4 linked regions of the Drosophila melanogaster genome follow. The protein of the gene in region 3 interacts with the protein of the main gene of each other region in a pairwise test. Each region holds a gene or a part of one and is shown on either strand. Other genes may lie near its edges.

What was found.
Region 1: the proteins of Stacl (region 3) and Coa7 interact in a two-hybrid assay, tested with the Drosophila melanogaster proteins (one large-scale study listed by BioGRID).
Region 2: the proteins of Stacl (region 3) and sisA interact in a two-hybrid assay, tested with the Drosophila melanogaster proteins (one large-scale study listed by BioGRID).
Region 4: the proteins of Stacl (region 3) and Tmf interact in a two-hybrid assay, tested with the Drosophila melanogaster proteins (one large-scale study listed by BioGRID).

Annotation. Positions count from the first base shown.
Region 1 is NC_004354.4:23,011,359-23,017,992, reverse strand, and holds Coa7 (cytochrome c oxidase assembly factor 7), read right to left. Parts: upstream 4,499-6,634; 5' UTR 4,412-4,498; coding exon 4,312-4,411; intron 4,175-4,311; coding exon 3,885-4,174; coding exon of another isoform or gene 3,834-3,884; exon of another isoform or gene 3,727-3,833; intron 3,541-3,726; coding exon 3,130-3,540; 3' UTR 1,407-3,129; downstream 1-1,406. Other genes in the region: Rab21, read left to right, coding at 4,887-4,950, 5,012-5,616. UniProt on the Drosophila melanogaster protein: Required for locomotion. Probably involved in the regulation of formation/maintenance of motor neurons at presynaptic terminals at the neuromuscular junction.
Region 2 is NC_004354.4:11,320,731-11,324,969, forward strand, and holds sisA (sisterless A), read right to left. Parts: upstream 1,628-4,239; 5' UTR 1,561-1,627; coding exon 991-1,560; 3' UTR 849-990; downstream 1-848. Other genes in the region: l(1)10Bb (lethal (1) 10Bb), read right to left, coding at 3,940-4,239. UniProt on the Drosophila melanogaster protein: Involved in sex determination and dosage compensation. Required for proper expression of Sxl in embryonic somatic cells. Also has an essential function in the yolk nuclei. Involved in endoderm migration and midgut formation.
Region 3 is NT_033778.4:15,398,173-15,404,517, forward strand, and holds the start of Stacl (Stac-like), read left to right. Parts: upstream 1-2,923; 5' UTR 2,924-4,211; intron 4,212-6,345.
Region 4 is NC_004354.4:6,841,865-6,848,796, reverse strand, and holds Tmf (TATA element modulatory factor), read right to left. Parts: upstream 4,457-6,932; 5' UTR 4,191-4,456; coding exon 3,623-4,190; intron 3,555-3,622; coding exon 2,045-3,554; intron 1,969-2,044; coding exon 1,692-1,968; intron 1,628-1,691; coding exon 1,400-1,627; intron 1,341-1,399; coding exon 1,122-1,340; 3' UTR 950-1,121; downstream 1-949. Other genes in the region: Cht11 (chitinase 11), read left to right, coding at 1-245, 311-689; CG14435 (uncharacterized protein), read left to right, coding at 5,751-6,275, 6,844-6,932.

The sequences.
Region 1 (6,634 bases), on a different chromosome or scaffold from region 3:
GACCAGACCCCAAAGATCATCGTTATTATTGGGTTTGGCTTCAGAAACCTTTTTTTTCACGTCCGCCCAAAGGTTTTCGATTGGATTCAAGTCGGGTGACTGAGCAGGCCAGTTCATTCCTCGGATCGATTTCTGCTCTAACCACTTTCGAGCTTTCTTGCTCGTGTGTTTTGAGTTGTTATCCTGTTGAAATGTCCAAACCAACGGCATTTCATCCCTTCCATATGGCAGCATCACATTTTCCAGGATATCTGTGTAAATGTGCTGATCCATGATGCTTTGAATCTAATGGATCGGACCTACTCCATAGTATGAAAAGCACGCCCATACCATTATGTTTGATCCCCCGTACTTTACCGCCTTAAAGGTGAAGCGAGGATTATATTCAGTTTGTGGTGGACGCCGAACATAAGACCAAGAGCCTTTTCCACCGAACAACACAATTTTGGTCTCATCTGACCACAAAATGTTGTGCCACTTCTCCACAACCCAGTCCTTGGGAATCTTGGCATATTCGGTTCGCTTTGCCACATGCTTAACAGTCAAAAGCGGGACTTTTCTTGGGCTGCACGCATTAAGGTTGTTTTGTCCTAAGCGTTTGCGAACAGTTTCCACGCTTTCAGCTATCTGAAGCTCCTTCTTGAGTTCCGTCGCCGGCTTAAAAGGCTCCTTCTTGCCTTGCCGAACCAAGCGCTTGATCTCCACGTTGGACATTGAGGGCTTTCTTCGCCGTGTTTCGTTCTTTTCGACAAACAGCAGTGCTTTGCGGATCATTTTACTTGAACAACCGACAATGCGACCAATTTCAGCGTATTTTTTACCTTCAGAGATCAAGTTTTTAATCAAATTTCTTTTTTCGACGGTACAATGCTTTCCGCGACCCATAACTAGAGAATTTTTGGACTTCGTTTGGAAAAAAATCAATAAAAACCTTTAATACAACTCATTTTTTCAAAATTTGTCGAAAAAAAACCCAAAGCAATCACTCCTATTAATTTTATTCAGTAAATACGTGGTCAGTGCTATTTTTGTTACCGCCTCATTTCGCGCACTTTAGCAGCAAGTGCCCAAAAACAAAAAGAACCGTTACATTGAGAGACTAAAAATTTCTTGTTCAGAGAGCCAACATATGGTACTTATTATTCATGCAAACTTACTTTAAAAAATATAAACATTTAATAATTTTTTTTAGGAAATGAACTTTCCACCTGCAGTAGTGCTATTATTTTAACCGCAGCTGTATGTGAATGCAAATATGTACATACATACATATGAAAGAATATTGTGAGATAGAGCGGGAAGGAGCTATTATCATTTATTGTAACTAAACAGCAACTAATTGGACAAGAGAGTTTTTAATAAAGCGTCTATTTCTTGAAATGACAGTAGGTCAAGCTGACAATGAACACAGAGAAAGTGTTGCACAAACAGACTGTATATAGATACAGTCCGTTCAGAACCATTTACATGCATACTTAAATTCCTTACAACAAGATTACACAATTATCATATTAATTTTTTAATGATTCGTATGAATATTTTACAATTTGATAATATTTGTAAGAATTTGTAAAGTTCTATCATAATGGCACTAAAAGGCCTTCGTACCAGGGATATTTTAGTACTTGCACACAGTTTGAGTCTGTGAGGTCCCATAAAGTTCATCACAGCCACATTTTTGCGAAGTGTTGCCTATTCCTTTGGCGGGGACGCCTGTGTCAATACTTTTGTTACAATTTTTTTTAATATGCTTAAAATATTATTGTTTTCCGTTAACAAAATCTTGCCCATTTCTCGAAAACAAATCATGACAATTACATTTAACCAATGTTTCTTTAATAGACAAATAATTGGGTATTATTGTACTTATTGTTTTAGAATTTTTGGCTACCAGGAAAAATAAATTTTTACCACCTTGCTAGAAGCTGTTTTTGTTTAACATAAAAATTTTAAAAAAGGCATTTAAGGTGTTTGATTGGTTGGTAGTAATACCAGAATACCTCATACTTTGAGCAGTAATGGTTCTAAAAGGAAATAGCTATTGTTATGCTTAAATAGTTTATGGCCTCTGACATTAACCGAACGCTACAAACCGTTTTGGTATAGTATCCCAATGAAATTTGAAAAGAAAATCGAATATTTTATACACATATTTTAATAAATTGTTTGAAGAACATTTGTTTTAAACTTTAACTTAAGTTACCTTAATAATTTGAAATTCGGATTTCTCGTGCGACTATTACCATGGCAGCTATGTATATGATAAGTAGACCAATTTTCATTTAGGTCCAGCCAAAAGCAGATATAGCAATTTCGATCCAGTTCCAGCCGAAATTTAATATACTGTATAAACCAAAAATAACTTTTTGATCAAAAACCCCGAAGGTTTCGACTATTTCTCTCAGCTACATATCTACATATATGATTCCATTCCGACTTATATTCTAGCTGCAAATTTAAAATATTTTGGGAATGTTTTATAAAGACATCTTTACGCCTGAAAGACTTGTATGTGTAGAAACGCAATAGTTTTTTAGACTTGTGGACGAAGCAGAATCACATTATTTTTCCTTTTACATTCTTTAGAACGAATGTAGTGCACATCTTCATGAGAAGGTATTCGAGGAAAGGACATGCAGATATTACAAGACGATTAATTACGTTATAATGTGCTAGATTTAAAAAAAAAATGAGGCTGTCGGATTAGCAGGCGATTCTGATCAGAAAAATGTACTGGTTCTTACATTAATATTAGAACAACAGTTTGTGCACAAGCAACCGTAACTAAAACACAATTAACTGAAGATTTTTGTCTACTTTTTTGGTAAGACTTGTTTGTATATTCATATAAGGTATCAACAAAATTTTTAAAGGGTTCATCATCACTTAATAACTTTAACAATTAAATCTAGGAATTTCCATTGTTACTTATTTTCTCTTTCTCGCTCTTTCGCATGCAAGTGCCAGCTATGTACACAGAAATCTCAAACACAAGTTAGTTAGCTTAACTACCAAAATTAGACTGACTGAAAATTACTGAAAAGGGCTAGAAGGTAAAGAAAAACCTGACCTGACCTGAAGCAAGGTCTAAAAACAGTAGCAGCAGATAATATCAGGAATCAAGCATTATCAATTAGGCATGCCCACGCCCTGCTGGAACCCTAACGTATCATGCTGCTTCTTCACCTCGTCCTGCATTTCTAGGGCCAGCTTCTTGTACTTCTCCGCTTCCTTTTCGTTCTTCTCGATCCCATCGCCCCGGGCGTACATCTGGCTAAGATTGGCACACGCATACATATTGCGAAGCTCGCAAGCCTTGTGGGCAAACTGGAAAGCCTTCTTCATGTCTTTTAGAACAATATAGTCGGAGTCCTTTAAAGGCGGTTGTCCGGCGGGGGGTGATGATGTACCACTTCCGGAGGATGCAGTGACAGCACTCTGATCCGCCTTCTTTTGCACGCCCGAGATGTGCATCCCGGAGAGATAAAAGCAGGCAGTGGCGTTGTTCAAGTCGCAGCTTTTGGTCAGAAACTCCAGGCCCTGCGGGTGTTGTAAAATTATAATGTCAAATCACAAAATCAAATAAAATTTAAACACTTTTCTGCTGGGGTCATATTGAACAGTTTTAAATTGGATCAAACTAAACTATATTCATACATATGTCTATACATCCATTGGAACATAATCAGAAAATTACAATTAAACGTTCAATTATCTGGACACGATACGAATGACTTATGATTTCAAGGATCAAATGAGAAACAGGTGGGGCAAATGAGAGAATGTACTGCAGCACATAGTTGCACTTTAAGCAAATTGAACAGTTCCAAGAGCTAGCCTTTTATTGAAGGCTTGGGACCGTGATCGCCATACGACACCTTTACCTTGGGCACATTCCAGTCGATCTCCCTAGGCATGGACTTTGAAACGAGCAGCAGGCCGGAGTGAAGACAGGCGTCCGAGTCGTTTAAGTTACAGCCCTTCTCGTAGTACTCGTAGGCCACTTGTGGATTCCCCTTGCTACCGCTCTTGCCTTTTCCAAGGAAACTGTAGTTGCCGTATTTGTAGCAGGACTTTGCGTAACCATAGTCGTCGCAAGTCGACTTGTACACCTTGGAGGCCTTTTCAAAGTCTTTCTTGATGCCCTCCAAGTAGTCGCCCAGCAAGTGGCACGCTGCAATGCAGAACGCCAGTTAGCTATCTCATAAATGCAATGTCTTCAAGCCCCGCGAATTGTCCTCCCGCACATCGGAGGTTATAGACCTCAATTGTTTTTGCCGCCGTCGCTATCGCTGCCGCCGCCGCACTCACCTTCCGGCTTCTTCTCGGAATAGCACCCGAATCGATATTCCACGCCCAGCTTTTCTACGTACTCCTTCACGTCTGACTCCTTCTTCAAGTCATAGGCCATGGTCAGCAATTTTTAATAGATAACAACCAAAAATTATTATGTTATGCTTCGTCCGGACCCCTGCGTGCTTCAGTGTTAGTAACGTGCAAAATATCGATTCATCGACACCATACTGCATACATTCGATGGTTTTATTGATATCGATGTTAGGCTATGCATCGATATTTTGCTCATAATTAAAACATGGTTTAATTTAAAATCGCTTAATTGTATTTTCTATCTTTCATGTATGACTGCGGCGACATTGAGTTCTCGGCCTTGCTTGAGGCCGCAGTGTGGCCAGATACGTATGTGACTTCTCGCTTATTCAACATTTATCGCCGAGTGCCATTACAATAGTGCTGGTAGACAGCCACACTGGCGGTCTCGTAAAAACCTAATCTTTTCGATTACCTCTTGTTTTTTTTTTGTTTTTCCGTGTCCTCTGAAAACTGATGCGTATCAAGGTAGGACACCTAGCTATTGGGAAACCACAATGAGCTCGAGCAGAACGAGGAACGGCCCCACGCTTAATTTCAAGGCGGTGCTGCTGGGCGAAGGTACGTTTAGCAGCTAAACAAACCTAATTAGTTCCTGAAAGCTTTAACCCCTTAATTGTAGGTTGTGTGGGCAAGACGTCGCTGGTGCTGCGCTACATGGAAGACCGGTTCAATGCCCAGCACCTAAGCACCCTGCAGGCTTCCTTTGTCAGCCGCAAGATGTCCCTGGAGGATGGGAGAAGGGCGCAGTTGAATATTTGGGACACGGCTGGTCAGGAGCGGTTCCACGCCCTGGGACCCATCTACTATCGCGGCTCCGATGGCGCCCTGCTCGTCTATGACATAACGGACCGAGACTCGTTCCAGAAGGTCAAATCCTGGGTGCGGGAGCTCCGGCAAATGCGCGGCACGGAGATTGCCTTAATAATCGTCGGCAACAAGACTGATTTGGAGGAACAGCGAGCAGTAACGCACGATGAGGCCCTTCAATATGCGCGCACGGTTGGCGCTCAATATGTAGAAACTTCGGCCAAGGAGAACGAGGGGGTGGCTGAGCTCTTCGAGCTCCTGACCCAGCTGATGCTGGAGCAGTTGAGCCAACGGCAACCGGATGCGAGTCCACTTCGCCTCCAGAATCCGGATACGGATAACCTTAACAACTCCGATGACTCGGAGGCCCCGGATCCCGGAGATCCTGCGGGCCAGCGGTCCTGTTGCGGCATTTAGCCGTTCCCATTGTGATAGTAATCATAACTATAAAATAGTAGACCTTTAACCGATGTTGATCTTGTGTATATATTATACATAGATAGATATAAATATAAATACGCGTATTTTTATTATTCCCTATTATGGATCTTTAAAATCCTCACACATTTTTGTTTATTAATAAATATAAATATGTATTTCATTCGATTTTCTTGCCCTTCCTGAGCGCCCAGTAATAAACAATCTTGTACTTGCACTTATCTTGTTTTGAGGCTTTTTGGGGGCCGGGCTGAATCATCGTTATCAGTTGAGGTGCTAATGGCTCTGCAAGGCGATAGGTGATTAATTTTAAACCGCACCAAGATTACAGTTTACGGCACTTTAAATATATGGTGCAATAGAAGACAATACATAAAGTTTTTATATATTTTTTCATAATTTTATGTAACGATCATATCATCGCAACAGCTTCTCCTATTAATGAAATTAATTGAAATCCAATTTCAAAACTGTTTTCGGCTACAATTAGTTACATATATAAGTATTCTAGTTTTATTTTGTTATAACAAAAAGTGAACGAACATATATGTATGTATTTACCCATTTAAGAATATATCCAATCTATAATATTCGGGCTATGTATGTACATATATGATAGTCTTCCATTTTATAACCGTTACTCGTGGTGTATATACTAGATATACTATATACTAGATTCGTTGAAAAGTATGTAACAGAACAGAACAACAGGCTGAAAGAAGCGTTTTCGACTATATGAGGTATATACATATATTCTTAATCAGAATCAATAGCTGAGGCGATCTAGACATGTCCGTCTGTCCTAGAGATATACATAGATGCCTCGCGAGATTGTTGGCCATATGCTGCCAAGCCCACTCTAACGCCCACAAGCCTCCCAAAACTGCTACGCCCACACTTTTGAAAAATGTTTTGATTTTTCTTGGTTTTATTGTTTGTTTTACCAATTTCTGTCGGTATACCAAAAACACTTTTGCCACGCCCCTCCTTACACCTA
Region 2 (4,239 bases), on a different chromosome or scaffold from region 3:
CACGTGAAAATGAAATTTTTGAGCGAGCATCAGCTTGAAATTCGATTGGCCATTGTGGCGAAATGCGTTTTATACTCTCGTTTTTACATTCCTATTATTTGCTCCTCCATTCATTCTTAATGTTGTGCTATTAAAAAATATCTGTGAACAGTAGTAACGACTAACTGATACCTAAAGAGTTGAAAAGATACGGCGTGAAATAGAATAACTTTTTGGGGTAAAAAACAATCAGAAGTATCTATATTTATCCTTCTCATTACGCAGACATCAAGATATTATGAGAAATTACTTAAAAAATATATGTAGTTATTAAAATTATATTGTATATATATATACATAGTATATACCCTTGGCAAGCATTTAGTAAAGCTTCCAAGTTCAGTTCGCAGTTCTTAAATGAAAACACCAACCAGAAAGTGGGGTGCTATTTGCAGTAGTAGCCCCACTAAATTTAGCCACAATCTCTTACAGAAACCTGCTCTTAAGGCCATTACTTCCATTGCATTTGCTGCTTTTGGCAACGCAAATTGTTCGCAAGCCAAAAAAAAAAAGGGAAAAAAAGAATGGAAAGGGGGAAAAACGTGAAACGGGGAAAGCGAAGTGCAATCATGTCGGATCAAATGAACTGAACTTAAGCAAGTCGAAATGGGTGCATTGCATTGGCCCAATTCCGATGGGATTACCTTCGGCCAGGCGAAGGAAACCCCAAGACTGCCGATGCGTTAAATGCAGAATAAATGCATCCAAATTATGGGAAATTCTTGTAAAGTGAAATTAACAAGTTATCCTTGACTCCATATGATCGTGTGAACCTATAACAAATATTTGAATAAGAAAGCATTCGTTTTCAATATGATTCTTAATTTTATTTAAAAATTTAATAATATGCTTAGATAAATACTAGATATAGTCAACAAAAAAAAAAAGTGGTATGGCTAATGCTGGACTAGTCAGGGATCCGTTCCTGCGACACATAGCTACACTATGATATCACTGCTCCATTTCCAGGCCGAAAGTGGCCCGCATCCGCTCGAGTGTGGCGGCGGGATATCCCCGCTCGAGCAGCTGCCTCTCCGCCTGGGCAATCACATCCCGCATCGTGTCCAACATGACGGCGCTCTTCTTCAGCTGCCCGCTGACGAATTTGTGCCGGAAGCGCAGCTTGGCCTTCTTGATCTTGTTGTTGTAGCGGGATTTGCGGCACGACTCGGCCCTCTGACGCTGGGCATCCTTGACATCCGAACCAGAACCGGAACCTGATCCGGAACCCGATCCGCGGCAATCCATAGCAAGCTCCGTTTTCAGCGGCGGCGGTGCACGGCGCTCCACAACAATGGGATTCTCCAGGAGCATCTGGTCTACGTAGCGTTGCTCCTCGTCGGCGTAGTGCATTTTGAGATGATGCAGCTGCTGGGACACCAGCTCCTCGATCTGCTCCGGCTTCGATGATGTTGACGATGCTGTCGATAGTGCGGGTGAACTGCTTCCGCGATACGGTGCGTATACGTGACCCATGGCCGCGTAGCTCAGAGTGGGCAAGTAAAGATGACTCCGTTCCATGGTGATTTTTTTCGATGTGTGACGTGGTCTGTGACTGCTCTCGTCGAGATTTCGTGTGCTAATGCTGCCTTAGGCAATATGTCAGCCCCGTTTTATACCATTTCCGCAGGTAGCTTGCCATTGGACACTGGATGGGTTATTCGCGGGTTCTACCTTCATGAATGGCGGTCACTGGGATTTATGATCTTGTTTTCCTCAATCTTGTCGCCTTGCTGGACACCGCCTACCTGCATCCGGATTGGCCAACGAATCGCAGATATGTAAACAAAGGGATTAGGGTAGCAGACGCACTGAGTCTACCTGATAATTGGTCAAATTTAAAAACAAAAGGATCAGGTGCGAACCAATATGTGGGTTTCTTCAATGGCTACCTACATACATATGTATGTCGGTATGCAAATACTCCCCATAATATAAAAGATATTCTAAGCCAAGAGATACGATTCAATGCAACTGATAAGGGCGTCATTAAATCCACAATAATCCCAAGGTCAAGCTGGGCTGTTCGTCTATCACCATCCATTTGCCGATTCGCGCCTTATCTAGCAGCCGAAATGAGTCAACAAATGTTGGGCTATGTGGAAAATCAACCTGCTTGGGCAAATACGAGCATGTCAAGCGGGTGGGATCAGGCGGCATTATGCGATAAGAGACACCAATATCGATTGCCATTGCTACCTGCTAAAGTTGCTATTTGTCCATTCCGGATCAACCCATCTGGAAGTGGGTTTCCCGCATCAGGTAGCCATTTCAAGGAGCCACTTTCGACGTGGTGGCAAACAAGTTGCGGCTTGTTGTCGTGGGATTAACCAGCCGAACCGACCGCATTTAGTCTATTAATTAATTTAACAGCCCTCGAAACGATGAGGGGTTCAGCGACCTGCTTAGCAGGCCTCAAAGGGTTAAACCAGAAATCCCTTTGGCTGAGAATAATATGTAATAGAGTTTGGTGGACCAAACTCAAAATCCATAAATAGTTGCTATCTCTGGCTGATGTAATGTAATATTTAACTAGCAATATTATAGAACAATATGACGCAAGCAGCAACTTATGCTAATTAAATAACCAATTAATTGTTGAACAAAAAGCAGTAAAATGTTATAACACTGCAAGTACCCAAAATATACTTTCCACTTGCTCCATTTTCATGTATTTCAATTTACAACGCTGCACATGTGTGCCACTCGAATTACATAACTGGCATAAATAACTCCGCTGGGTAATTGGCAAAACAATTGAGTATTTTTAGTGACCGAAAGCAGTTTTAATTCGAAATCCCCCATTTCAGCCAGATGGGGGCAAGCTGTCAGCGGCAGACGGGCAATAATTTTTCCATTTTTCGCATTTTACCATTTTCCATTCGGCATTAACCATTTGCCATGTGAACAATAAAATCGACAGCGCCGCGTTTGTTTGGCAAATGAGAAAATATGCAGACAAGTATAATTAAAAAACCATTTATAATCATTTTCGACCAAATCCCAATTGGCCACCCAAAACCAAACCAAACCCCGCAGGAACACTTGAAGCCTGACAGTTTTCAGCTTGAGAATAAGTTGGGAATGCCGATGGCCGGAATACTCTAGCTGAATTGGATGACTCAAGGAAATATGTATATACTCTTATTTCTATATACTCAAATGTTGAACTAGGGCTTCCATTTTCGGACAATAAAGAAACACTATACCCTTAGAAAGAGTACTGAAAATCGAGGAGCAAGGCGACGATAAATGGACGCACATGAAGGAGACTCCGCCACATCCCCGAAAACGACATTGAGTTTGAATTATGTCAGCGCAGCAATAAATTGTCCAAGGCATTAAATTAAAATATATGTATGTATAGTATATATCGTTTAAAGAAAAGCTGTGAAATCATTAGAAGGACGTACGTAAATTGCATATTTTACTACAGAAATTTTCACAACTCACATATTGAGATGGCTAGATTATAAAAAAAGGAATATATTTAAGTTAATATTCAAAACTCCACTTCGACATATGTAGGAAATTTAATTTATTAAATGCTTTTAAACATTTTCATAAATTATAATCTTTATTTATTTGATTAAACTACAAGTTAATTTCTATCTTTTCTATACATTCTAATACAAAAATGTCTGCTCATACCATTTCTACATTTTTTTTTAAACAAATCGGAACGCATTTCCCAACGATGCCTTGTCGTTTACATAATCGGTTTATTGCAGCATCTATTTAGATGTTTAGCATGCCATTAACCATAATTGTGGCTTGTATTTAAATGTATTTACATACTATGAAGAAATCAGGCGAAATCTAAAGTTGAACCTACTGAACTATGTATTATGAGGATTATTTGTGTCGAATAAAGATGCCAATAATGCGTCCACATGGAATCTAACCGGAGCAGCCGCGACAACCGCAGTGGACACACTCAACGATCCGACCCTCTTCCAGTTTGCATTTGGGCACCCGGCATATGCAGTTCGTGCCGAAATTGGTGTCCCTCGTTTGAATGCAGCGCAGGCAGCATAGGTTCTCGTATCCAGACTTCTTCCACTTGGCAATCAGATTGCCATCGGCAATCTTCTCCTTCAGACAGTAGTCGTACAATTCCCGGCTGATGGCTTTCCGGCGATAGAATAGATCGTAGATGTATCGTGTCTTCTGGTGGTGGATCTTGAAAATGGGCCAAAG
Region 3 (6,345 bases):
GGACAAATCACGGATCGATGATGGCTGGCACGTCATCGCTTTTGATTTACCTTCGTCACTTAACTTGCCAGTGATTTGGCTTAAATCCTGGTTATGCCACCCCCAGAAATGACCATAATTAGTGTGCGGGCTAGCTGTTCGGGCAAACTAAAATCGATACGATTGAGCAAAATGGTAGACCAAAAATAAACACTAATTACAGGAACTTTGATTGAAGGCTAACTGGACGGTGGGGATTGCTACGTGATAGATGGGCAGATAGATGATAGATAGACAGGTAAACCGCTGGGGATTATGATTGCTTCAACAAAATAAGCATTTAATTGAGCTGCTTAATAATTCTAATTATTGCACCGGTGGCGGTGGCAACGCTAATTGGATTCCTAATTAAGCATACCGCCGGAAATCGCGCGCTGTCAGGGAAACTAAAGTTTCCAGGCCTGCAACTCGACCAATTACCGTTAACGTGGCGCTAATGGAGGTACCTTCTCCGGGGTCCAATACGTGCCACTTGAGAGGTGCATCGCTGTGGCATAACAATGACAGCGTCTCCACTGACCGTCGACCCGTAATTAAAACTCAATTATGTGGCTACGAAGTTGACAAAGTGGCCACATCAAAGTAGATAAATTTCATTTACCGCCTGAAAGTGCAATCATTACACTTCGTAAAACTTCGCACAGCAGTTCCGATTCGTTCACACTTGATAGGTCAAAGTGCAGATGGCAAGTCCTGCGATGGCAATCTACCAAAGTTTCCAATCACAAGTTGTCGCAATAATTGAGGACATCCAGCAGTTACGGCACCACGACCAAGGTGCTACACGTATGCGTGTGTGAGGGAATACTGCGGCAAATGCCAACCGCATTCTCAATGAGGCATCCTCAAAACGTGTCCCACCAGCAACAAGTTCGCCATTTCTGCGTAACGCATCGATAGAAAATATATAATTCAAGCCGAACACTAAAATACCAGAGAAATCACATGTAGTACCCAAAAATAAATAAATTAGCAGATCTAAGGCCAATTTCAGGTAACTCAAATATAATGTGGTATAAATTTCCGCACAATATAAGCTGCATTGAATGAAAGCTTTCTTTATATTTAACTTACTAAATGAAGTATAAACAAATAAATAAAAATAGATTTTAAACTATGTTTTAGAATAATTTTTGATTAGATAATGTAAACATTTCCAGCTGATCAGCCATTTGTCTTGTCGACCTCTTGAAAAATTGAGAGTAGAGCAGGACCACAATTTACTGATGGAATTTTTACACAAGTTATTTATTTTGTTTCTATTGCTGGCCGCTTCATTCATGACGACTTCATTTACTTGACGAATGTGCCCGTGCAGGACGAAGGATCCACGCTGCTGGCTTTATTAATATTTATAAGTTGGACTCTCTAGCAGGAGCTTAGCCAAAGCCGCAATAATTCCCCCGACCACGCAATCAAAATCAACCCTCTTGGAAATTCCGATGGCTGGCTGGAGACAGCCACTTGGTTCGCTTAACATTTTCAATTTCAATCTAATCTAAATTACATGATATGCGCACAATTTGAACGCTAATGAGCAAGGAATTTGTGGTAAGATGGTGGCGGAGCAACGCTGCGTATGCGCAACATATTGCGTGTGAATTTTAATTAAAAACTTTTCTCACTTTCCAACCGAGATAATCTCTGTCCCACCGCCTTTTCCTCGAAATCTCCCACTGCGAATCGGATGTCCTTTCGTGTTGGCTGCTGTTGTTGCTGTTGCTTCGATTGCATCGATTTTCTGCTAACTTTGAACGGTATTTGAAAGGAGCTTAAGCTTGTTTCTTTTATTTGCGCTACCTTCGCGCGAAACCCGATTCCATGGGCAGCAAACAGGACCAGGTTGGCTAACAAATTCTTGGAGCTATTCAGCGGTTAGCGGTTGGGGTAAACAACTTCTATAATCACTGTAATGCGATCAAGCATAAAGATGGCTCTAGCTGACCGTTTATTTAGATGGGTAAACGGGTAATCCTATTTTTAGCCATGTTTATTAGACGAGAACAGCTTCTTTCACTAATGCGATTTAAAGAAAGCCTAATTTTTTAAAATAACTATACTTAATTAGTTGCAATCTCTTTCACATTTACATCACCCCTGCTAAGTAGAGGGTATGTGGTAGTCGAAGAACTCGTCTATAGCGCCCTCCCTGATTGTTGTAAAGTTGTAATAATAGTAATAAGTTAAAATATGTTGGTAGAGGATTTCAATGAGGTATTTTATTTCAATAAAATTCCGCTTAGAACATTCACCATTCGTTGCATTCCGTTCGCCCTCTAACCTGTTAACTTGGTTTTAATTTACACTTAATTACGTGCATTGCCGTGGCAAAAGTGCAACAGATTGCTTCGTGGATTGCTTCATTAATTGTCCTCTGTTGTGGCAACTACCATCCTGCCGCATCTCCCCTCTAATAACACATTACCAAGCTGCTGGTCCTGCTATTTAATGGCCTCACATGTGTCGGGAGATAGGGACAAAAATTAACCTTTGACCTGAATGTGTACGGTATCGCGTCACTTGGCTGTGCAAACAAATTGTTTCACGTCAAAAAGTTCCATTATTCGATTATGAGCCGGTCGAATAATACATTAGTAATGCAATTAATTAGTATATAAAGAATTCCGTATTCACACCGCCATCGGCACCAAATGATTAACTTCCATGGCAATTGTTTTGCTTAGGGCCCAACCACTTGCTTGATTCCCTTCCCATAACTGCTCTTTTCTGGCCAAGAGCACCTGCCCGCTCTTTGGAATTCCCAGTTGCTTTCTCTTCGTTTGCCCACGCAGCCGCATCAAGCTATTCCGAAAATAAAGCAGCCGACTTGTGGACGTTGCGTATACGCAGTGTTGTCGCCGCCGTTCGTTTGGAACCACTGTTCAGTCGCTAGCTGGACGTGATGTTGGCCGGAAGAGCAGCACGGCAAACAAATAAAGACTTAGCCAAAACAGCTGAACAATAGCTGAGCTGAACTGAACTCCAGGCCGTAACAAGTGTGGCAGTAGTTAGGTGTTCGTGCCGCTGAAACAACAAGTATCCAGCACAGTACTTTCTATTTCGGTTAGTCGGTCGGTCGGTTGGTCGTTTGGTCGGTTTGTCCGAGTGTGTGCGTGTTGGCCACCTAAGTCCTGGTGCGTGCGTGTGTGTGCGCGCTAACTGTGTTTTTGGATGCAAATCAAAGCGCAGCTCACCTGAAAAGTATGCTTTAAATTTTTACTATCGCCACTCCGCGTGTGTACTTGTAACTCTGAAAAGTTTCTGTTTCTGTGTTTATTTGACTACCGCGGCGCATTTACATAAGTAAACTTTGGCATGCGCGCGGCCTGCTGCCGCTGATGTAGATGTAACGACGTCGACGTTGGCACTGAATAATTAATGCAATCAAGCAATTTGAACCCGTTCCGCCGTGGAGTGTGCCTGGGCCAGTGCCACAACGGTTTCAACGTGACCATAATGAGAGCTCCCCAAGCTACAAGTCACTAAGTGTGCCCGAAAAGCCCAATAACACAAAGAGATAACCTGACCAAAATTCGCAACAAAAAAAAAAAAAAAATACAACACACAAGAAGCCTGAGGAACAAGGAGGGAATACACTATATTTTTCGACAGAACTATAGCTATACTATACCATATTAACAAGAGAGAGTCTACTATATATGTACTTACTTAGTGCTAACTGACCACGCATATTCCAATCATAAATTATCGTGATAAAAATTCTTAGGCGCTGAAAGCCAATTTCAATTTTCACCCAAAAACGATAGAAGAAGAAAAGCCCCTGAAAGAGAAGAGAGAGAGAGAGAGGGATATACGCTGTCTGCAGACCAACAAATTACTAATAATAATTTTTAGATTTAAACGACAACAAAAACGAGACTAACAAACATCTGCTGGCCACACAAGGAACGTATACAAATAAATGCGGGTATATAGCAAAATGTAGACAGCTTGGCAAATATATTTCGATTAAAATATATACCAAATTGAACTGGACAGAGCTTTGACACGAAAACCAAATCGTTTGCCAAGTGAATTTTATGAAATTCGCCTGATTATTGCGGCAACAATAGAGATAAGATTCGGAATCAGAGGAAAAGCGTTTAAGTGAATGGGAAAAAGCAGCCAACAGGTTGTCGACGACAGATAAGGCCAACATTTTCTCGAAATTGGTAAGTTGAAATCACAGCAGTGTAGAACGAATGAAAAATAATGAATGTGGCACTTCATTTCTACCACTTGGAAGGATAGTCTGATTTAGAAGTTTATTAAATGGTATGCTAAGTTTTGTCAATGATTTTATTTTGCTAAGAGCTTTGCCATCAACTAATAAAGGAGATTAAGCTTTGAAAACTTGATTGAAAATGAATTTGGGTTTCTGTGGAAGCTTAAGTTTTGCCAAAGTGAAAGAAACTACTGCAAGTTTTGAATAAACTAAATAATTTCTTTAGCAAAGTTAAAGTTTGACAAAAATCATTACAAACTAAAATGGTCATTTGGCTACTTTTAAAGCAATTTTCTTAATTGCATATATTTCGTGTTGGCAGAGTGCATTTAAAATTCTTTTTAAGTTTACTCACCTCACAATTCCCAAATCTGTATCCATTAATTAAGTGCAACTACTTACAGCTGAGAAATGTGATTAAAAGAATGCTATGCAGTTAAGAAATTAAAGTGTCATTGGTGACTTTCTTCACTCCTGCAAGTTCGTCGCTTTTTGCAAAGGTCCTGCGCACGGCTGCCCAATTCCTCCATCCATTATCCACGTAATCCCACTCGTCACGAGATTCCATCCGTCAAATCCCATTCCCGCCCAGCAGCAACATGTAAATGCTCCTGTAGTTCCGGAACATATGTGTACGAAATGAAAAGATCCCAAGGAGTAAACTGTAAACTGTAAAAATACTGACCATGTCGCAAAGTGCCATAAACAATTTTACAACATTTTTGCTGTCATAAGATTAAATGTGCATAAGCTGGAGGAGGGGCAAGGACAAGAAGAGCGCACTCCTCCGCAGGAGGATGAAAAAAAAAATGGAAAGTGCTAGGGAAAAAAAGGAGAAAGCTGTAGGAAAAGCTGGGCAATAGAGCACTGCGATGGGCGAAAGCGAAACAAAAGCAATAACTATAAAACAAACACGACAATTCGCTTCAACTTTGGGGCTACAAAAAATGGCTGAACACACACAGACAGAGGCAAACCGACTTTATGTGAAGAAAGAAAACAACGCTGAAGAACAACGGAGACTCACAGATACGAATACACTGGGTGAAAACTGAATGATTTAAATTACACAATAAAAGTATTGATTTAAGAGTGCTGGGCTCCGGTACACTGCAAGATAGGTTAGACAATGTAAACTTTAAAATATTTAAGATTTGGAAACTCCTTGGGGTTTAAAGGAATATTATATGGAGAGTATTTATGTTTTTCTCTGTAATATGTCTTGCATCGCTTTGGATTTTCTCACTTGAAGGACCCCACTTCGATTCCAGCACTTTTACTCGCGGTGTACACATACACAAGCCCATGTGCATTCATTCTGAGCTCCTTTTTTATGGCCGCTGGCGGTGGGTGTTCGTTGGTATGGTTTTGTTGAGGGTCGACTGGGCTATAAAGGTATGCAGCAGGCAGCAGACGACAGCATCCAATTACAAAGTGAATATTTCGAGACTTGTTGGTTTGACTCCCGCCTTTACGCTCGGGCAGCATATCTCGGTTTCCTTCCATGTTGACCTTAACATTTATTTCATCTGCTCTCTTCTCGGCTTTGTGTGGCAGCCTTAAAGTGACTTTCAAGTTTTTGGTACCGCCGTTACTGTCGCTGACCTGATTCTGATTTCTTCTTTAGTTGCACGAAAACGAGACCACCGAAAACACCGGGTCCATTCCCAAATGAAAACATTTTACGGGGAAGCCCCCACGGAGAGTGGTGTTAGTAGGAGGTCCTTGGGGGGAATAATGAGGTACGCGACCGTGCCCACTTGAGCACGTTCTACATGAACTGCTGGCCCAGCCGGCAATGGTGATGATGGCATGCTAATAACGTCCAACGACCACCTTCCTGAATGGCCAAAATACAAAAAATAAAAAAAGAAAACAAAAACGCTAAAAAACTGAGAAAACGACCAACATGTTTCGCCACGCTTTCGCATTTATACATGGCCTGTCATTTTAACATTATCCGCGCGAAAACCCCCCGATAGCTATCGGTGCGGTCCTGCTGCTATTTGACTCCGGGACTTTCCCCAAAATTTCGAGGGCCAACAAGTGTCCGCTTCAATGTTTGGGCAGCTGTGTGAAAT
Region 4 (6,932 bases), on a different chromosome or scaffold from region 3:
TATGCCTACGACATCCGAGAGATAAATCTGTACGCAGATTATGTAAATCTAATGTCCTATGATTTCCACTTCTACCGCGAGGATACACCATTTACCGGCTTAAATGCTCCGCTTTATGCCCGCTCGCAGGAACGTTCGCTAATGGCCACGTTCAACATCAATTACACGGTTCAGTGGTGGCTAAAAAGCGGTCTGGAGCCACAGCGACTGGTTGTGGGTCTGCCCACCTACGGCCACTCATTTACGTTAGTAACTGCATGTATTATGGAATGAATCCCTCATTAATTATACTTCCTCACCCACCAAACAGGTTGGTTAATCCTTTAAATCATCGCATAGGAGCTCCTGCTTCCGGTTACGGTAAATGTGGCCAACTGGGCTTCACCACACTGACCGAAACTTGTGAGTGTGTCACCAAGTTCTTCAAGCCAAACTTGTCCTACGATGCCGAGAGCTGTTCGCCATATTTGAGCGCTCTGCAGGAGTGGATATCGTACGAAAATCAAACGAGTATCGCCTGCAAGGCGAACTATGTGAAATCCCTCAATCTGGGTGGCGTCATGGTCTTCTCGCTGAACACCGATGATCTCAAGAACTCATGCAGCATTATGCCAAACTTGAAATACAGCGAGAAACCTGTATTTCCGCTAACCCAGGCCATTAAGGACATCCTGCGGGAGTCCCTGTGATTACTTTGTATTAAATGATATTTGATGTATTTGGAAGAGGCTGTTGCTTCTGCTGGCTGCTTCACAACCGCCTGGCAAACTGCTCGGAACAGAAACAGTTTTGTACATAGTCATAGACGATAACTTTATGTATATATAAATATAAATTAAATTATCACAATCGATCAATTTATAATATAACTAGAAGGTGTCAGCATACGCAAATCATAGGTAATATATATACTCGCATGTACATGTGTTGGTTTTTTTTTTGTTGTTTTGGGTGGATTGGGACTTGGAAGTGGGTTCCCCATACCGGATCCGTATCGATTAGTATTGAAAGCATAATACATTACAACTGGGAATGGGAGACGGAGATGGGCAACGTTACGGTGGCCACGTCCGTCGCAAACATGGCAACTCGGGCAGGGAGACGATCCTGCGCTCCGGCAATCATGTTTGCTTCGACGGCCGTTGCAGATTGGGTGGCGGGGCGGCCAGCAGCTCGTCGATCTGCAGCTTGTAGGCCGCCTTCAGCTCGGTCAGATCCAGCTCCAGTTCCTCGGTGCGCTCCACCTTCTCGCCGTACATCTGGAGCAGGGCGTCGTAGCGATGCTGCAGATCCTCGTATCCCTTCTCCATTACCTCGTACATCTGCTGCTTCTCCTTCATCTACCATTGGACGAATAGTATTCATTATTATCTCTTGTCAAGATGGGCTATTCTCCTACCGTTTCCAGCTCGATGGTCAGATTGGATATCTCGGCGTCGAGAACGCTTCGCTCTGCTTGCAGGCGCGACACTTCCCACTGCAGGTGGGTCAGCTCCCCGTCGCGCTGCTTGAGCAGAGCCTGCAGGTGCTCAAAGGTCGTTGTGTTGGCCGCCAGAAAGCTCAGGTGTACACCTTGGATGATGCCCGATTGCTGGCGACCCGAGTTGGAAGCGCAATCGAGGTCGTCCTGAATTTGAAAGTGAATTAGAAACTTAAGAAGGTTCTTCATTTGAAAGATTAGGCGACATTACCGCCTGCCAGTCGATCATGCCGCCCAGGGCCTCCTCGTTGGAACCACTGTCGTCCACCAAACTGAGGGGCGGTGAGGAGCGCAGTGGTGCCTGGGATTTCGGCAGCTGCATTTGCAGCTGTGGCTGCAACTCACTGCTAGCCTTGACCGCCTTCACTGTCAGCAGCGTGGGCTGTTTCCGCTGCTCCTCCTCTTCCTTTTGCCGCTGGCACAATTGCTCCAGACTCGCAATCCTCTCCTGCTGCTGCTGAATCTCCTCCTGCAGCAGGCTCAATTGTCTGTTAGTTTAGAAATATATTTGCATGGGTAGATATTAAAAATGGGTAAATCAATACAAGGTTTAATGGCACGCACTTTTTGTGATCGTTTTCCTTGTTGGCCGCTTCCAGATCGTGCTGACGCAGTGCCATCTTGGCGGCCTCCGCCTCCATTAGCGCACTGGACAGCTTCTCCTCCAGCAGGCCGCAACGGGTGCGCAGCAGCTCCTGCTTCTCGCCCTGTACGGATTCCAATTGCTGCAGCGAGCGCAGTTGCACCTGTGAGTCGTCCAGTTTCTGGAGGAGCTGCTGCTCCTCGCGGTTCCAGGCAGCGGATCGCTGGTCCAGTGTACGCTGCAGCGACTCGATCTGTCGTATCAACGGCGTGGTAGTGGCACCCAGCTCTTGAGTAGAGCTCTCCGCCCGCAGCTCGGCGGCTTCCAGGCGACGCATTAGCTGGCGGTTCTCCTCGCGCATTTGCTGCTCCCTTCTGGCCAGGCTGTGCTCGGCCAGGCGCAGTTTCTCGCGCAGATCGGAGACCTGCTGCACGTACTCCTGATGCTCGGCACGCAGACTGTCCTGCTCCAGGCGCGTGCGCTTCTGCAGATCTCCCTTTAGGCCGTCGAAACTGGCTTGCAGGGCAGCTAGTCTGGACTGAAGATCTTCGATGCGACTGCGGCTCTCGGCGTTCTCCTCATCCACGCGCTTCTTCTCCGCCGTCATCCGGCAAACTGCCTCGATTTGCGTGCGCTCCATTTCCTCCTTGGCGGCTAGGGATCTCTTGAGGCGCTCCGATTCGCTGGACAGCAACGAGATCTGCTCGCCGTTCTTCTTCAGCAACGTGTCCGAGGTCTTCTCCTTGGCGCGCAGTTTCTTGATGATCGTCGACTGCTGCAGGATCTCCTTGGACAGCTTCTCACCCTCGGACTGCAGGGCGGCGATCATTTCGTTGCATTCGGCTAGCTCATCCCTGGGTATCTTGTTCTGCAGCTCATCGCGCAGACTCTTCATTTGGATGCGCAGGGCATCGCGCTCGCGTATGCTGGCCTGGAACTTCTTCTCCAGCGCCGACAGACGCTGCACTGCATCCGCCGCATCCGGACTGTTGGCGCTATTGGCTGCCGCTTCGACGCGAGCGCGCAACTCCTGGTTGCGCTCGAGGAGCTCGGCATTCTGGCGCTCTGATTGCAATAGTCGCTGCTCCCGCGCCTCAATCACCTGGTTCAGCTCGCTGATGCGTTGCACCAGCTTATCCAGCTCCGACTGTGAGTCCTCCGACAGCAGCGAGATCTCCGAGGGCTCGCGATGATGTCCCTTGGCCTTTAGGCACACCTTGCCGCCCGCGAGCTCCTTGAATTTTTGCGGGCTGGTGCGCGTGGTGGTGCTGTTGGTGCTGGAGTCGCCATTCGGATTTGAGATGATCTCGATGTCCGATGAGGTGGACGAGTAGCTCTGGTCCACCGTTCCCGTCTTGGCCGGAGCGGGCGACTTGCCCTTGTGGCTCATCTGCAGCTGGATGTCCTCGAAGCTCTGCGTGGAATCGGAGTCAGCATTACCGGCTACCTGGATGTCGCTCAGGACCAGAGCCTTCATGGTTTTGGTGGAGTCTGCAGAGGGAAAGGTTTACACAGTTAGCAAACGATACAAAAAAGAGAATTGCGACAAGGCCCAATACCATTCAAGTGGTCCTCCATGTGGCGCTTCAGCTGGGTGCCCTCATCGTCATCATCCTCGCCATCACCCTCGGCATTGTCGGATGTGTCATTGCTGGCGATTATCACAATGCTGTCGGGCAAGGAGGGCTCCGTGTCCGGTGACATCTCCACTTCGCTGGCCGTGGTGGCCGTTATGAGTTCTAGCGAGGATTCAGACAAGCGCTTGGCCACCGAGGGGACATCGCCGCCGCAGGGCGAGATGGGCGAGGTTGGGGAGGACAGCAGATCCACCGAATCCGAGGTGGCTGACTGCCGTTTGCCGTAGGCGGCACTTCCTGGCACCGATGTGGGTGTGGGTGGAATGGTCACCATTTCGTTGGCATGCGGATTGTCAAAGAATGTTGGCGTATCCGAAGCGGGCGTGGCAGCGGATCCAGGTGTCTCCGCCGTTGCATTGTTCCCAGGCGATGCGCCACCATCGCTCGCAGCTCCTGCCATCGGCGAGTCCTTCTCCGCCGCCTTGCTGTCGTCATCCTGGATGTCCAGCGCCTCAATTAGCACCGTTTTGGCCTTTTCGAACCAGCTCATCTTCGGTGCGGATGTGGAAACGCAGCCCCAAGTGCCACTGTATCAATATTGCTGTTGACGTCGCCGCAGTAGCTTGGGCGAATTGAGTCCTAGTCCAGATCGCACTCCTGCTGCTCCGGCTGCTCCTGCTGCAATCTCCTGCTCCTTGGGAGGCACATGCAAGTCCCTGATGTTTTGGGAAGCTGCGGATTTGACTATTTAATGGCCAATTGGAATTGTGTTTTCAACAACTCAACTCAGCCCCGATAACTATAGTCGGCTATCGATAGGCCAGCTGTGTGACCACCGGTCGTGCACTACAGTGAGCACACGGTGCAATGAAAATGCATTTTTTAAACATATATATTCTACTATTTGTTTTTTAATTGATTTCCAATCAAACCATTGTGAACTAAGTAACACACAAAATCTAGCTAATATTAGAAATTATAATTTTTTAGTTTTGTGCAGTTTCAGTACATACTAACTTAACATTGAATCGATGCAAAAGAATTTGATAAATTTGAGAAAGAAAAAAGCGAATACCTCATGTAGGTGAAACAAAAATATTAAAATGATACTTTAAAATTTATATTTTATAAATGCGCAAATGAAGAATACCCCATCTAGGTTCATGTCTCAGCTAGGTGCCTACACAATACCGACACCATTCTTATTAGAATACCCGTCGACAATCGATTGGCCCTCCCAATTGGACTAACGCCTCTGTTGATATCGAGAAACTCTTTTAATGTAATGTATAAAAAAAAATTAAAAAAAAATATGGAAAACGGTCATTTAAATTGAGAGTGTAATCAAGGCAGATTGGCCAGCAGCGTCGTGTCGCGTCACACCTATTTTTTAGTCGGCGAGAGCAGCAGTAGTGCACCGCGTAGCGTTTGGATCCGATTCCATAGGATTAGGCAGCAGGAGCCCGTTGCAAGTGGCAAGTAGCAAGTAGTAGCAGGCGCAGGAGCAGCTAGTGCCCATCATCCATCAGTCATCGGTTGTCATCGGGAGTCATCATCCGGCGACCGCAGAGCCGACTCGAGTTCCAAATATACCGGAGAACCAGAGCAACTGAACACCTGAGCATCTGAAACATCTGAAACATCTGAGTCCCCGGAATCAGCAGGCGGAGGACAAGAAAACGGGGCAGCAACAATAACAATCGCGACTCAACTACGCACCGATTGACGCCCGCCCCCCGTCCTTGCCACCTACTCCCACCCCCGCCCCCCATCCACTCCACGAGCACCATCACTTTTGGCACAAACACCAAAACACACTCACACACACACACACTCGCACACACACACACAAGCACGCACACACATACACTTATCAAGCGAGCGACAAAAAAGCGACCGCATTTATCATCCGCACATCGCAAATCGCACATCGCATTGTTTGCTATTGTTGTCTGCTCCGTTTTTCGCACGCGAAGGAGCAGACAAAGAGGACGCCTCGCGGAGGCGGAGAATTGCAGAAGGCGCTGCTGGAGCAGCAGCAGGAGCAGCAGCTGGAGCAGGCGCAGGTGGTCAAAGGTTCGTCGCCCAGTTAATAATTCCATCAGCATCTATGGGTCAAAAGGCGAGCACTCCGGCGACCAGTGGCCAACAGAGCCCACGCTCCAGGACATTCTCGAGCAGTTCAACAGGAGCCGCCGATTCTGCGCTGCAGCAGCAGCAACACCAGCACTCGAATCCCGGCCAGAATCGTGGCGGTAACGGCGGCGGCGGTGGCGGCAATGATACCACCGGTCAGGGTTTCAATCTGCTGCGCACTTTGCCCGGCCTGCAGGTGTACCACAACCAAAACTCCACGTCCATCGATCGCCAGCGGGCGCGGAGTCTCAGCTCCGTGCCGGATATACAGCAGCAGGCGCAGCAGCAGCAGCAACAGGGATCGATCACCTCGTCCGGCAGCAGTCCGCATTCGCATCCGCATGCCGCGCACGGCCATCCGGCCGTCGGTGTCACCGTATCCGTGTCCGGTAATGCGAATGCCAATAGCAACAGCAACTTCACAGCCGCCGGGAACAACAATGGATCCGCCATGCAGTCCTACATGCAGCAGAGACGCACTCTCGGCGATTCCATAAGGGTGAGTCGGGTTGCGGGCATTCTGGAGGGGATTACAACTCGGAGCAGGGCCAGTTTTGAATAAGTTAAAAAACGCGGGAATACCATTGGTATTCGGATATACCGAAGGTCAGCGGGTTACTCCTTGATTTATGTGCCTGTCTAATGGAAGTCATTGTCCAATTTGTTCGATATCTATTTTTGGATTTACCAAGGGTAATTCCATTAATAAGCACTTAATAGTTGGGCAAATAAGCCGAATACCAAGAATGTATATTCACATTGAATGTACTAATCAACTTATATGGATTTATATACCTCAAATATTGGCATATTTGTATACCATCATAATTTTCAGTTGGCTTTAAAGATCCCTGCAATTGTATCTAGAACTTCAGACAGCAAAGATATTTGTGTAGTTTTCACTTGCTTAAAGTACTTAAAAACCAATTTGGTGCAGTTTGATCTATGAATAGAGTGGAGCGATTGTTGTAAATGAATCTCCTCAGTCAGTCAGTCAGTTGTAGAAATTACGTATGCGCACCGTGTTACCAATTCTAATCGCATATTCCCGTTATCCTCTGTTCCAGGACATGTCAATGACCGGCGGCAGCATCGCCGAGAGCATCGCCCTGGCCGCTTCCGCCACGTCCGCCAATGGGATCGGTCGTGTCTACAC